2 linked regions of the Drosophila melanogaster genome follow. The protein of the gene in region 1 purifies or fractionates together with the protein of each later gene. This does not show direct contact. Each region holds a gene or a part of one and is shown in the gene's direction. Other genes may lie near its edges.

Evidence for each region.
Region 2: the proteins of shu (region 1) and armi purify together in Drosophila melanogaster (affinity purification with western blotting, with the first as the bait; one study listed by BioGRID). This does not show direct contact.

Annotation. Positions count from the first base shown.
Region 1 is NT_033778.4:23,840,769-23,845,151, reverse strand, and holds shu (shutdown), read left to right. Parts: upstream 1-1,865; 5' UTR 1,866-1,957; coding exon 1,958-2,016; intron 2,017-2,073; coding exon 2,074-2,824; intron 2,825-2,899; coding exon 2,900-3,457; 3' UTR 3,458-3,691; downstream 3,692-4,383. Other genes in the region: Snap29 (Synaptosomal-associated protein 29kDa), read left to right, coding at 506-773, 843-1,429; CG46398 (uncharacterized protein), read right to left, coding at 3,713-3,894, 3,949-4,099. UniProt on the Drosophila melanogaster protein: Co-chaperone required during oogenesis to repress transposable elements and prevent their mobilization, which is essential for the germline integrity.
Region 2 is NT_037436.4:3,459,270-3,466,996, forward strand, and holds armi (armitage), read left to right. Parts: upstream 1-2,047; 5' UTR 2,048-2,193; intron 2,194-2,271; 5' UTR 2,272-2,305; coding exon of another isoform or gene 2,306-2,401; intron 2,402-2,834; exon of another isoform or gene 2,835-2,851; coding exon of another isoform or gene 2,852-3,034; 5' UTR 3,035-3,071; coding exon 3,072-3,515; intron 3,516-3,592; coding exon 3,593-4,021; intron 4,022-4,087; coding exon 4,088-4,690; intron 4,691-4,747; coding exon 4,748-5,710; intron 5,711-5,779; coding exon 5,780-6,583; intron 6,584-6,639; coding exon 6,640-6,963; 3' UTR 6,964-7,045; downstream 7,046-7,727. Other genes in the region: eIF5B (eukaryotic translation initiation factor 5B), read right to left, coding at 1-829, 903-973; CG46463 (uncharacterized protein), read left to right, coding at 2,306-2,401, 2,852-3,034; CycJ (cyclin J), read left to right, coding at 7,270-7,353, 7,417-7,603, 7,681-7,727. UniProt on the Drosophila melanogaster protein: Probable RNA helicase required for axial polarization of the oocyte during early and mid oogenesis. Plays a central role in RNA interference (RNAi) process, a process that mediates mRNA destruction of translational repression.

The DNA of each region.
Region 1 (4,383 bases):
TGTTTTGGTGCTTTGCTCCGCCGATTCGTGTCCTGAAACCTGTGACGTTCGGCTGCGACAGTTTCTTAAATTAAACTAAAGCTTCCGTCTTGGTCAGTTCCAAAAAGTTACAGAAACTGCGACGCCTGCTGGAAAATTGACAGAAGTGCTGGTTCGATATCCATCGGAGATGGCAAGCCGCTTTATTCCCCGCTAGATCATCGGTAGGGGGATTCGGTCGGTATTCGCTCGTTACACGATTTTTTATTTATTAGATCAAGCTTCAAGTTTTCTTACATACAAATTCAATTTTTATCGTATCTTCAAAATCATTTTAATTATAATAACTTATTTTATTGAAGCCTCTGCAATGTCAAGCTATTTATAAGTCGATTGAACTGCATACAAATACTACATTTGTACCATCGCTATTGCAATCGATAACTCCAGACAACAACAAAGAAAATAAAAGTTTACGAAAACATAACAAAATTCGACATTTTGGAAGTTTCCCTCGCCACAAGAAATGGCCCATAACTACCTGCAGCCAGTGCACGATCACTTCGATGACGTGGACAGATTCGAGGACGTGGACGACGACCTATTCCTGCAGAACAAACGGACGGGAGCAGCCAAGCTTCCGCAGCAGAGGAGCACCAATCCCTTCGAGATGGATGACGATGACGAAGAGGAGATAACCTCGTCGCCATCAGTGGCCGCACAGCGACTGGCCTATGCTGAGAAGCGAAGGGCCATTGAGCAGCGAACTCTGGACTCTACCAACAAAAGCTTGGGTAAACATGGGGTCAATTGCCAGCCAATTAAGGGGCGTTATTGATGCGTCTCTCTCCTACAACCCCCAGGTCTGCTCTACGAAACCCAGGAGGTGGGTAAGGCGACGGCCGTGGAGCTGGCCAAGCAGCGGGAGCAACTGGAGAAGACATCACATCAGTTGGACGAGATCAGCTCCACGCTGCGCTTCAGCCAGCGCCATCTGACTGGTCTGAAGAGTGTCTTCGGCGGCCTCAAGAACTACCTTTCGGGCAACAGGGACCAACCACCCACCGCGACTGGTTCGCCCACGGGCAGTCAGTCCTCCCAGGAGGCCAATAGCAACATTAACCAGGGTGCCTGTGGCGGTGCTAGCCCCTCGGCTCCGCTATCACCAGCGGAGCGCTACGACAATCATCCGGTTAGCCAGCTGCGTGGTGATCCCAGCAGCACCTACCAGCCCCAGCGACAGGCGGCCAATCCCTTCCAGGCCCAGATCGATTCCAATCTGGAGGAGATGTGCAGCAACCTGTCGGTGCTGAAGATGCTGGCCACCGATCTGGGTGGCGAAATTGAGTCGCAAAATGAATTGCTGGATAACATGAACTACAAAATTGAGGATGTCGACTTGAAGATTCACAAGCAGAACAAGGACATGAGCAAGCTTCTGAAGAAGTGAACAAGCGAGCATTCGCATACTATTGTATTGATCATTGCTTAGAATAGCCCTCCCTTAATATACAAATCTTAGCCATACCATATCGCACGGTGAGCACTTCACAAGGCCATTAAGAATGCATTCCTCATTATGTTTCCTAGTTTTTTATTGTTACACACACCAAAACAATTCTCTCAATGGAGTGCTCGTAGTTGGAGAGCGATAAGTGTTCAGTTTTAAATAAAGATTCATATAAAAAGCAAGTATATCTGGCCTAGTGTTTCCCCGTCTGGATTGGAATACATTATACATTTTCGGAAGATATCTCGAGTTGCAGTGCTCGCGCCCTAATAAAGATATATAGTTCTTTGTTTGAATTCGATAACTTCCGGACAACAGCGACCAATCGATTCGCTAAAGCTATCAAGCAATCGAATTCCAGTTGATACCATCGCTGGAAAGCTCTTTTCTCAAACGCATCCAAAAGAATAGCGCCAACTCAGCGCATTCCGGAATTCGTTTCGTAAATATTCTGTAAATTTTGCGATAATGGAAGAAAACTTCGAACCGTACACCCCACAGTTGCTCAAGAATCCCTTGTCCTATTCGTGAGTAATAAGATACATATTAAAGGCACTCATGACCACGTGCAACTCATTCTGCAGGGATCTCGTGAAAAAGGGCGTTGAGTTCGAGGTCGACAATTCGCAGCAGAACCATGCCAGGGATCTGGGTCTCGACAGCGACAGCGACAGCGACTACGAGGATGCGCTGGACGTGGACGGCGAGGAGCTACGTTCACCGTGGACATATTCATTCGACGAACTGCGTGCGCTGATGAGCGAGATCGACGAAAACATTTACAAGCGGATCACTCGCACCGGTCACGTGGATCGGGAGGCGGTGCCGAACAAGGCTAGGGTCTCGGTTCGGTACAGTGGCTACTGGGAGGGCGAGACCGCTCCCTTCGACTCCTCCCTGCTGCGGGGCAGCAAATTCGTGTTTGAAACTGGCCAGGGAACGGTGGTTGAAGGCCTGGAGGTCGCCGTCCGCAGCATGCGTCCTTACGAGCAGGCCGAGTTTATAATCTCCTACAAGCTGCTTTTCGGAGAACTCGGTTGCCCTCCGCGGATCAAGCCCAAGGCGGATGCGCTCTTTAAAGTGGAGGTAATTGACTACTCGCTCATAGGAGATGCGAAGGGCATCGATGCTATCCCCCAAGAAGACCGCGACAAGTTTTGTGTGGTCTATCCGAAGGCTGTCGACTTGCACCTACATGGCAAGGACTCGGTGAAGCTCGGACGCTATCAGAGTGCAGCAACTGCCTTCGAACGGGCAGTGAGCTCACTGAACTACTGCCGAATGGCCAATGACGAGGAGGAGCGCAAGCAAACTGAACTGCTTACTACCCTGAACGTAAGTGGCCAACAAGAATAGCTTGCAGAGGCAGCGTTCTCGACCAGGCAGTTGATTCCTTGTCTCCTTTCTCAGCAAAACCTGATGATCGTTTACAACAAGATGAACAAGCCGAAGCGCGCCTGCATCATGATGAAGGCCTTACGGCACCTGACCATGGGCAATCCGTCTTGCAAGGCGCTCTTCCAGGAGGGACGCGCCCTGGCCGCTCTGGGCGAGTACAACTTGGCCCGCAACGCTTACCTGCAGGCGCAGGCCAAGCAGCCGGCGAACAAGGAGATCAGCGACGAGATTATCAGCATGAACAAGAGAATCAGCAAGTATGAGGAGGCCAGTCGCGATATATGGGCACGTGCCTTCTCGTTAAAGAACTCAAAGTCAGACGTCCGCAAAACGCCTGCTCAGCTGGAGAAGGAGGCAAAGGAACAGGATTTCAATGACAAAATGGAAGATTTGATTAGGCGGTTTAAGAACACTTCAGATCAACAAGTGAGCTTTTCACGTAAATCTTATTCGAACGCTCAGTTCGACGCGACTTGCAAATTGGCCAAGGAACACAACCTGAAGCTAACTTTGTCTCCCATCCAAGAGGATGTTCTGACATTGTCTAAGCCGGATGTTAAGTTCGCTTGAGCTTACTAAGAAGCCCCAGTATTTCATATTTCATATCTTACTCAAAAAAAAAAACATACCAAACATGAAGGTAATTTAGTTCCAAGTTCTAGAAGAGCAGTATCATTAGTTATTTCGATATTAGCAACATGAATATCGTAAGCCCAGACGAATGTTAACGTTTTTTGTTATTTAGAGCAACGTAGACCTTAAGTTGTTAAAAACCACAATAAAAGTAATGCACGGCAGCTACATAATCGTCAGGTACTACTTAATTTACTTTCCATTACTTTGCTCGAATTGGCGATGCAGGCACTCCAGGCACGCACATCCTTTGACATGTCCAAGTCTGGGCTCTACGATATGAACCTCCTGCAGCTCAAAGCTGTCGGAGTCGTAGCTCGTAAATGATTCCGATTTCACAAACTTGCAGCACACGCATATACAACCCAAAATGCCTGGGAAAATAAGAAAGTAAGAGGATTTGGTCTAAGAGCAACTCACATCCGTACTTAAGGAGACTATCCAAAGAACAAGCAGCAGGAGCGGACAGAAAAAACTCCTGGCCATAGGTAGTTCGCCCGCACTTAAGCTTGCTTTTCCATCATCAATGCCCAGGACGTTTTCAATAAATGTTTCCGCTTGGGATTTCGTATCTGCCATTTTCTCGAAGAAAGCTATTTTTTTTAATTGGCCCGAAAGTTTTTGATCTCCTCCAAACCTGTTTAGTTAAACGACTGTCTATGGCTACCAGCTAGTTCCTAATTCAAAGCTTGGGATTGTTCAGTGTCGCAATAGATTAAAGAACAGTTGTGCCGCCCTGATGAATGTAAATGTGTTTTTACAAGATTGTAACTGCAAGGCAAAAGAATTCTTCCACTGCACTGCACAGTACATGAAAACTAATGGATTGGTTCAATTTGGTTTGAGGGACTCAACACAGGGAC
Region 2 (7,727 bases), on another chromosome or scaffold:
AGACATACCCTTCTTCTTGGCGTCCTTCTTCTCCTCCTCAGGCTCGGCCTTTTTGTCTTTCTTGCCCTTCTTCTTGTTTTTGCTGGACTTTTCCTCCTCTTCCTCGGCGGCGGGCTGGACTTCTTCCGTAGCCACAGGCTCGGGTTCTGGCGCAGGTTTCTCCACGGGCTTCGGTTTGGGTTCAGTAGCTGCCTTTTGCTTGGCTAGGGCAGCCTCCCTCTTTTGGCGCTCCTTCTTTTCCTTCTTTTTCTGGGCTGCCGACTTCACAGTGCTGCCGCCCTCCTCGTCATCGCTGGCCTCATCCTCTCCGGCGTTTTCTGCCACTGCAGCCTGCTTGGCCTGCTTCTTGTTCTTTTTTTTCTTGGAGAACTCATCGGCCAATTCTTCGGGGGAAACAACAGTAGTGGCAGCAGGAGCAGCCTCGCCGGCGTATTCCGCTTGAAGCTCAGCTAAAACCTTGTCCAGATCTTCATCGTCGTCGTCCTTCCCCTTGCGTTTGGCCTTTTTGCCCTTCTTTTCGTTCTTCTGTGGCTTGGAGACCACTACCTTTTCCTCCTTCTCAGACTGGCTTTCCTGGGCAGCTGGCTCGTCCTGCTCGTCGTCGTCCATTAGCAGCTCAAAAGCCGACTTCTTAGAAGCTTTGCCCTTGGCGGGCACCACCTCCTCCTCATCGGAGTCGTCATTTTTGCCTGCTTTGCCTTTTCCCTTGACATTAAGCTTCTTGACCCCCTTGGTCACGGCTTTAACATCGTCATCGCCAGCTTGATTGCCCTTCAGGGCATGATTCTGCTTGTTGTTGAGGCTCAACTGGTCGCTGTCCACATCGGAGCTGTAAGATTGAATAATTTGCGATAGAAAGTTTGCCAAGTTGGCAGGTGGGCATGAACTTGCACAAGACTCACATTTCGTCCACCGAGGAACCGCCTTCGACCTTGGTCAGTATCTCTTTCTTGCCCTTTTTAGCTTTAACCATCTTCCCGTTTGCGACTGCAACACGCTCCTCCTCTGGCCGAAAACAAAAAGCCGTGGGTTATTCACCGCTGAAAGATACGCACACGCGACGCCTCGGCAGCCAAGAAAAAGAGGAGGACTGTCCACTGGGTTCTCCTGGTGCTGGTGATCTTCTGATGGTGACTCCGCTTCGGTGGCTCCAGCGACGACGTCCTGCTCCGGAATTGTGCAATCGACGGCTAGATCTGACACGGCGCTTTGCCAATTTTTGGTTTTATTTAGCCGAGGAAATTCTGCACACAAGCACGTTGTCGAGTAGTACGGTGCGGGAGGGTTGGACAGGCAGTGTGACCGTGCGAGTGGATTGCTGAAAATCACAATGGCTGAGCTAAGGTTATCGATTATACCCTGTAATATCCAGTTGAGCGGGGTATTTTTGTTTTGAGTCTATAGTTGTACATAAAGATATATTAAATATATATACACCTTTTTCAATAGAATCGCGGCCTCGGCGCTGGCGTGCGCTGTTTACGGGAACCATTTATCGCCTCTGGTGCTCAGTTTCTTACTCATCAGACATAGGGCAGTTGGTTTTATTGGTTTTCCTAATTGGTAAATTATTTCAACTGCGAAAAGTATTGAACATACTCTTAAATAATATCGATCACTAGGGTATTTATGGAGAAAGAAACCATCTATGGACTTTTTTACACATATACTCGAAAAACTTTCCGGATTGCGGAAAGATATTTGGCATATTTTGGAATTTGATTGCTTATTTCTTAAATGTAAGTGACAGATAACTAACAGGTACTCTTGAAAAAAAGATAAAAGAATAAGAACAAGTTCTTCGTGTGTATTATTTTTGTGAGGAGGTAAATTCCAAAAACAAAAACTTAAATGTGGACTGCCGATATTTTATATACTTTCTTGAGTTCTTTACTTTACATTTTTGTTTCATTTTATTTTTGAGAACTTTTTTTAAATAAGGAAAATATAAATACATAAGCAACTTCCTCACGTTTCATATTCCACCGCTTTAATTTGACACACTTTAAGAAAATACCACAGCCAAGGATATTTTCTACGCCGCTAAGTCCGGTCACACTTAAAAGTTCGCCAAGACGCTTTGTGCTCAAAATTTTGCTCGAGAGTTTTTTCGAATACTATGACTATTTCCCATTGAACTCTTAAAACTCAAAGTGCAGTGCATCTACTAATTCAACAGCGTTAAGAATATTTGTAAGTACGAGTACAAATAGCAAATCCGGCTGTGCATTTGCAAAAAGCCGGTAAGGAACTCACATATTTGGTCCACAGCTTGATAACCAAGGTAAATCCGCGTGATTGGACAATGTCCAGCGAAGCATCCGGAAGTATAACCATCAAAGAAGAAGCATCTACAAGCGGTACGGCCACCAATATTCCCGTTGAATCCAGTGAAACAGAGGTATGAGTTTGTTGTTGTTGCCATCCTTGTTTTGGCGTGGTAGAAGGAGACGAAAGCAGTGCAGGAGTAACTGTTGCTGTCGCTTTTCTTGAGACTTTCGTTTGCTTTTTCTCCATTCAAACTGTTGCTTTTTTGCAGTTATTTTAACAGCCTAGACTAAAAAACAAATCACTATTGAATTCAAGAACCCTAACACAAAGTTTTTAATTTTCCGTTACAAAACATACAGAAAATGTATACAAATGTTAATTTTTTTATTTTATATATGCTCTTATAAATACATTTAAATTTATAAATAAATATTCTCTAAATATTTCAAAAATTGTCCGTAGAAGTAAAACAACAAAATGTTGTTAAATGAAAATTGTAGGATATTTAAGCCTTCGGTGTCATAGAAGGTAACATTGTATGTTCTCAAATGTTTACAATACAGATGGTCCACATTTCCAGGCTAAGAAACCCGAGATCGGAGCTGACAAGGCGGAATCGCAGAGCGAAACCACCGAGGGCGGGAAGGCGGCGGAGACGACGGAGAACCACTTGAAGCGTCTGCAGAATCTGCGCAAGGAATTGAGCTATCTCAGCGAAACCGACTGGATGTACGAGAGTCTCGACAAGAAAGCAGCGCAGTAGGAACGGCAGAGCATTTATCGGCGAAACATTTTCAAAAATGTTCACATACGTTAGCAAGTTTTTCACGAACCCGGATCGTAACCGGGAGGATATTCTGGAAAGTTTGGATCGGGAGAATAGCTTTTTAGACCAAAAACTAATGGAGGAGAAGATGGATCAACAGCTTAAGGCGAATCCAAACGAAATTAATGGGGTTTTAAGTAACAAGATCGCTGAGCTTACGCATGGACTTTCGGAAATGGACGTGAGTAAAGAAAGTTCCTGCACCGCCAGAAAGGGAGTGATCACCAGTCTAGACGGCGATCGGGGAGTCATCGACAAAGACGTTTTATTCGAAACGAAGGTGGCAGAGGATATCATCTTGGATCTACACGTCGGATGTGTAGTGGAATATTTGACTTTTACAACGGGGGAAGCCATGCGGGTGGTCAAGGTGAAGAGTATCCTTGAGCATTCCTGGGAGGACACAAGCCAAAAGGAGGTAAGCTCATCGGTATTAGATTTATTAGCCATTTGTTAAAGCCAATGCTTAATATCTGTAATCCTAACTTCTATTAGATTGAAAAAGCTGTAGACAACCTGAAGAACGAAAAGCCGACATTCTTTAACACCGAAACAAGGAGCGTTTTGGGTCTGATTAGCCAGCGTCTGGCATCTTCCATAGACGTCGAAACGGAATACGGACAGCTGACCGTCGAGCTAGACAATATCGAGATGAACTTCATCCCAACGAATGGAGATCGAGTGCGCCTAGAGTGCAACATTCAGCTGGATGACGGTTTCGTGGACAAACAGGGAGAAATCCTAGAGGTGACAAAGTTGTTTCCCACCCGCATTCAGGAAGGTGAAAAGTGCATTGTGGAGCGCGTGTACGTGCACATGGTTGTGCTGGGTCCGGAAACCTACATTTTAAAGACAGACTTGCCTACAGGCACGGATCTTCATCTGGGCGACATTGTGCTCGCCGATCTCATCGAGTGCCAGTATGTAAGTTAAAGAAGGAACATAAAATCTTGCGATTTTCTTCTTTATACGTGTGTTTTAATTCCCCAGTCCAAATTTACGAGACGCGCCATTAAGATTACTCCGCTGGAGAAAAATTTTGGGGCTACCAAGCTGACTCAGCAGAGCAGTATGGGATCATCCGGCAGTGGAAAAGCAGTGACGGTGACTGGTGTAAATCGTTTCATCACCGCAGAGCTCTGGCAAAAGGAGAGCGTATCTTTAAAGCTGACCAACAATCTAAACCGCACTTTGCGCCTGGAGAGCATCACCGTCTGCAATGACAGTGAGTCTCAGTTGAGCGTGGTCAGCCCTCTCGAATCAAAGGAAATATCCAGCGGCTCCGAAATAACGGTGACCTTTGAGATCCATACGCAGTTCCTGGGGGAAGCAATCGAAAAGTACGTGCTGAATTTCGATCTACTCAAGGTGAGGCGCGTCTTCACGGTGATCGTGTGCAAAACCAAGGAGGAAGTCGCTGAAGCTGAGAAACGTATGATAGCAGCTGAAGCTTTGATGGCACCCGGTCGTAACAGCCAGGAGAGGTCCCGGTTCTATGCCAACCAAGTTTGGTGCAACAAGGTGGATGTAATCCCGGGACAACAAATTGTTACCAAGCGCAGATTTGTTGCTCTGCGTTTGGGTTGCTTTGAAGTAAGGAGTCCTCTCATTAAAAAATATGCTTATTTTTAATACTACCGTTCTTTTAAGGTGCCCAAAGAATTGCGCCAAATTTGTTTGACTAGTGAACGGCGACAAGAGATGATCAAGGCCATCGAGCAGCACTATTCATTCCTCACGGAACCCCTAAGCATTAAAACCTATATGCACCGTTTCAGATTGCTCCTACACCTCGAGGAGATCGAGTGCTTCGTCAACTTTCGCAACTACGACAGAGACCGAGCACACTTTCTGCGTGACGGAGAGTTCCTCACGCTGCAGATCGAGAATCTAGCCGAGCGTCGACCGTCGCTGGTCATTGGCGATACACTGCGAGTCATTAATCCCTGGTCGGATCCCGATTCCCAGACCACCAAGTCATACGAGGGCATTATCCATAAGGTGCTCTTCGATCGCATTTTACTCAAATTCCATTCCAGTTTCCAGGAGAAATATAATGGCGAGGACTATCGACTAGAGTTCTATTTCTCACGCTACAGTTTTCGCAAGCAACACCATGCCATCTCCAAAATTGTAGGAGTAATGGGCGAGGATTTCTTGTTTCCCAGCAAAGTAACCAAGCGCGAGAATCCCCAGCTGGATGTTTATATGAAGGATGACGACATGTACTTGTACGATTCGAAATTAGAGTGGTATAATCAGTCGCTTAATTCCATCCAAAAACGTGCTGTTTTCAATATACTGCGCGGTGAAGCGGAGAACATTCCTTATGTGCTGTTTGGGCCTCCGGGCAGTGGAAAAACAATGACACTTATTGAGACACTACTCCAGTTGGTTAGGAATCTGCCTGGTGCCCGAATCTTGGTGGGAACGCCGTCGAACAGCTCAGCGGATTTGGTGACAAAGAGGCTCATCGATAGCAAAGCTTTGCTCCAGGGAGATTTCATTCGCCTCGTTTCGTACAATCAAGTGGAGAAAGACTTGATTCCTCCGGAAATAATGAGCTACTGCGCCACAAGTGATGTCGGTGCTGTGGGCAGTTGCGAGGACAAAGTGAGTAGAAAAATTTTATCATTTGGATTGGACACCAATTAATCTTGGCTTTGTTGATATTTGCTATAGATGATGGTCACCGAATCGGGATTGAAGCTTCGCTGTCAAGCTAAGTTTATAGGTACTCATCGCATTACCATCTCCACCTGCACTACTTTGGGAAACTTTTTACAATTGGGGTTTCCAGCGGGCCATTTCACTCACGTGCTGTTCGATGAAGCTGGTCAATGCACCGAACCAGAAACAATGGTACCCATTGTAATGCTAACGAAGAAACGCTCTCAAGTTGTTCTCTCAGGTGATCCTCGCCAGCTGCAGTCTATTGTCACCAGTCGAATTGCCTCGAAAATGGGATTTTCCATATCCTTTCTGGAGAGATTGCTGGAACGGTCGCCGTATCGAAAAGATCTTCAGCGATTTCCCGAAAGCTCCGGCTACAATCCACTAGTGCTAACCAAATTGTTGTACAATTACCGAGCATTACCGTCGATTATGAGCATTTATAGCAGGCTATTCTACGATGACGAACTGATCCCAGTTCTTTCCGAAAAGGATTCAAGGGAATCTCGCCTACTAAGTAAACTGCGGTGTGTATTTGAGTCAGAAAAGGATATCCCTCAAGCGCACGGCACGTTCTTTTACGGAATCATTGGCGAAAACAGGCAAAATAACGATTCCCCTTCCTGGTTCAATCCCCAAGAGGTCAGGGAGGTGTTCCTAATGACCATCGCCCTGTACCGTGCCAATGTGACTGCCGATCAGATCGGTATAATCACGCCCTATCAGAAGCAGGTGAAGATGCTTCGGAGTATGTTCATTGGCACCGACGTGGTCATGCCGAAGATTGGATCCGTCGAGGAGTTTCAGGGACAGGTGGGGTCGGAACTAAAATCGATATTACGTGCACACTTAACGTTTGTTATTTCCAGGAACGAGACATTATACTAATATCCACGGTGCGTTCATCAGAAGAGATCCTGCGCATGGATGCCCGCTTCTCCTTGGGATTCGTGCGTTGCAGCAAGCGACTTAACGTGGCCGTTTCCCGAGCACGTGCCATGATGATCATCTTCGGGAATCCCCATCTTCTGGCCGTCGACGAATGCTGGCGCCAGCTAATCCTGTTCTGTGTCAAAAATAACGCCTATTTTGGCTGTGATCTGCCTCAAATGGTGATAAATCAGAAAGATGAGGTCCCCGTTTGCTTGGAAACATTCGTGCCTTCACTGAATACTACAGATGATTTGAACTAAGCACATATGACAGTTTATTATTAAATTAAAACACTTGTTATTGATGAATTAAAGTAACACAATTAATCATTAAACTTGTTTTAAATATTTGTACATATGTGCTAATTTTAGCGAATGGTAACACTCCCAAGCGCAGTCTGGGAACGCTGCTCGTTTGGCTTCGCAGTGTGGTAGCACTGGCCGGAACCGTTGTAGCGCCATGTTTGCGCTCCTTTTGTTTTCTCCTTCATTTGTTTTGCTTTTTTCCGCCGTTAAGTTCTTGCCTTAAAATCGGTGATTTAAGGCATTGCATTCAATTTCGATACAATGGAGCAGAAAGTGGCTGCCGAGCAGAACATCTTCGTCGTCGACCGCAAATTGAAGAAAACTTGCCCGCAAGCAGATGTCGAGGTGAACGGACATGTGCTTAACTTTTGCGAACCCGACTTTATTTCGTTAAATACCAATTTGTAGCGCCTGGCTAAGACGCACTGGCTCACCGACTATGCCCGGGATATATTTTTGACCATGAGGGAGCAAGAACTCAGCCGTCGGCCTTTGTTTTACCTTTCGCCGCAGCTGAACGAGCGCCGAAGAATGCTGCAGTTGCTCAAACTGGCGACCAGCGCCCACAAGCTTAGTCGCTGTGCTTTGCACCTGGGTGAGCACTGTACAGAGGAGCCTCGCTGCAGGCACAAAACCCATGTGCACAACTCATTGTAACTCGTTTCACTCCAGCCGTCTACTATATGGATCGCTTTGTTGATTACTACAAAATCCGTCCG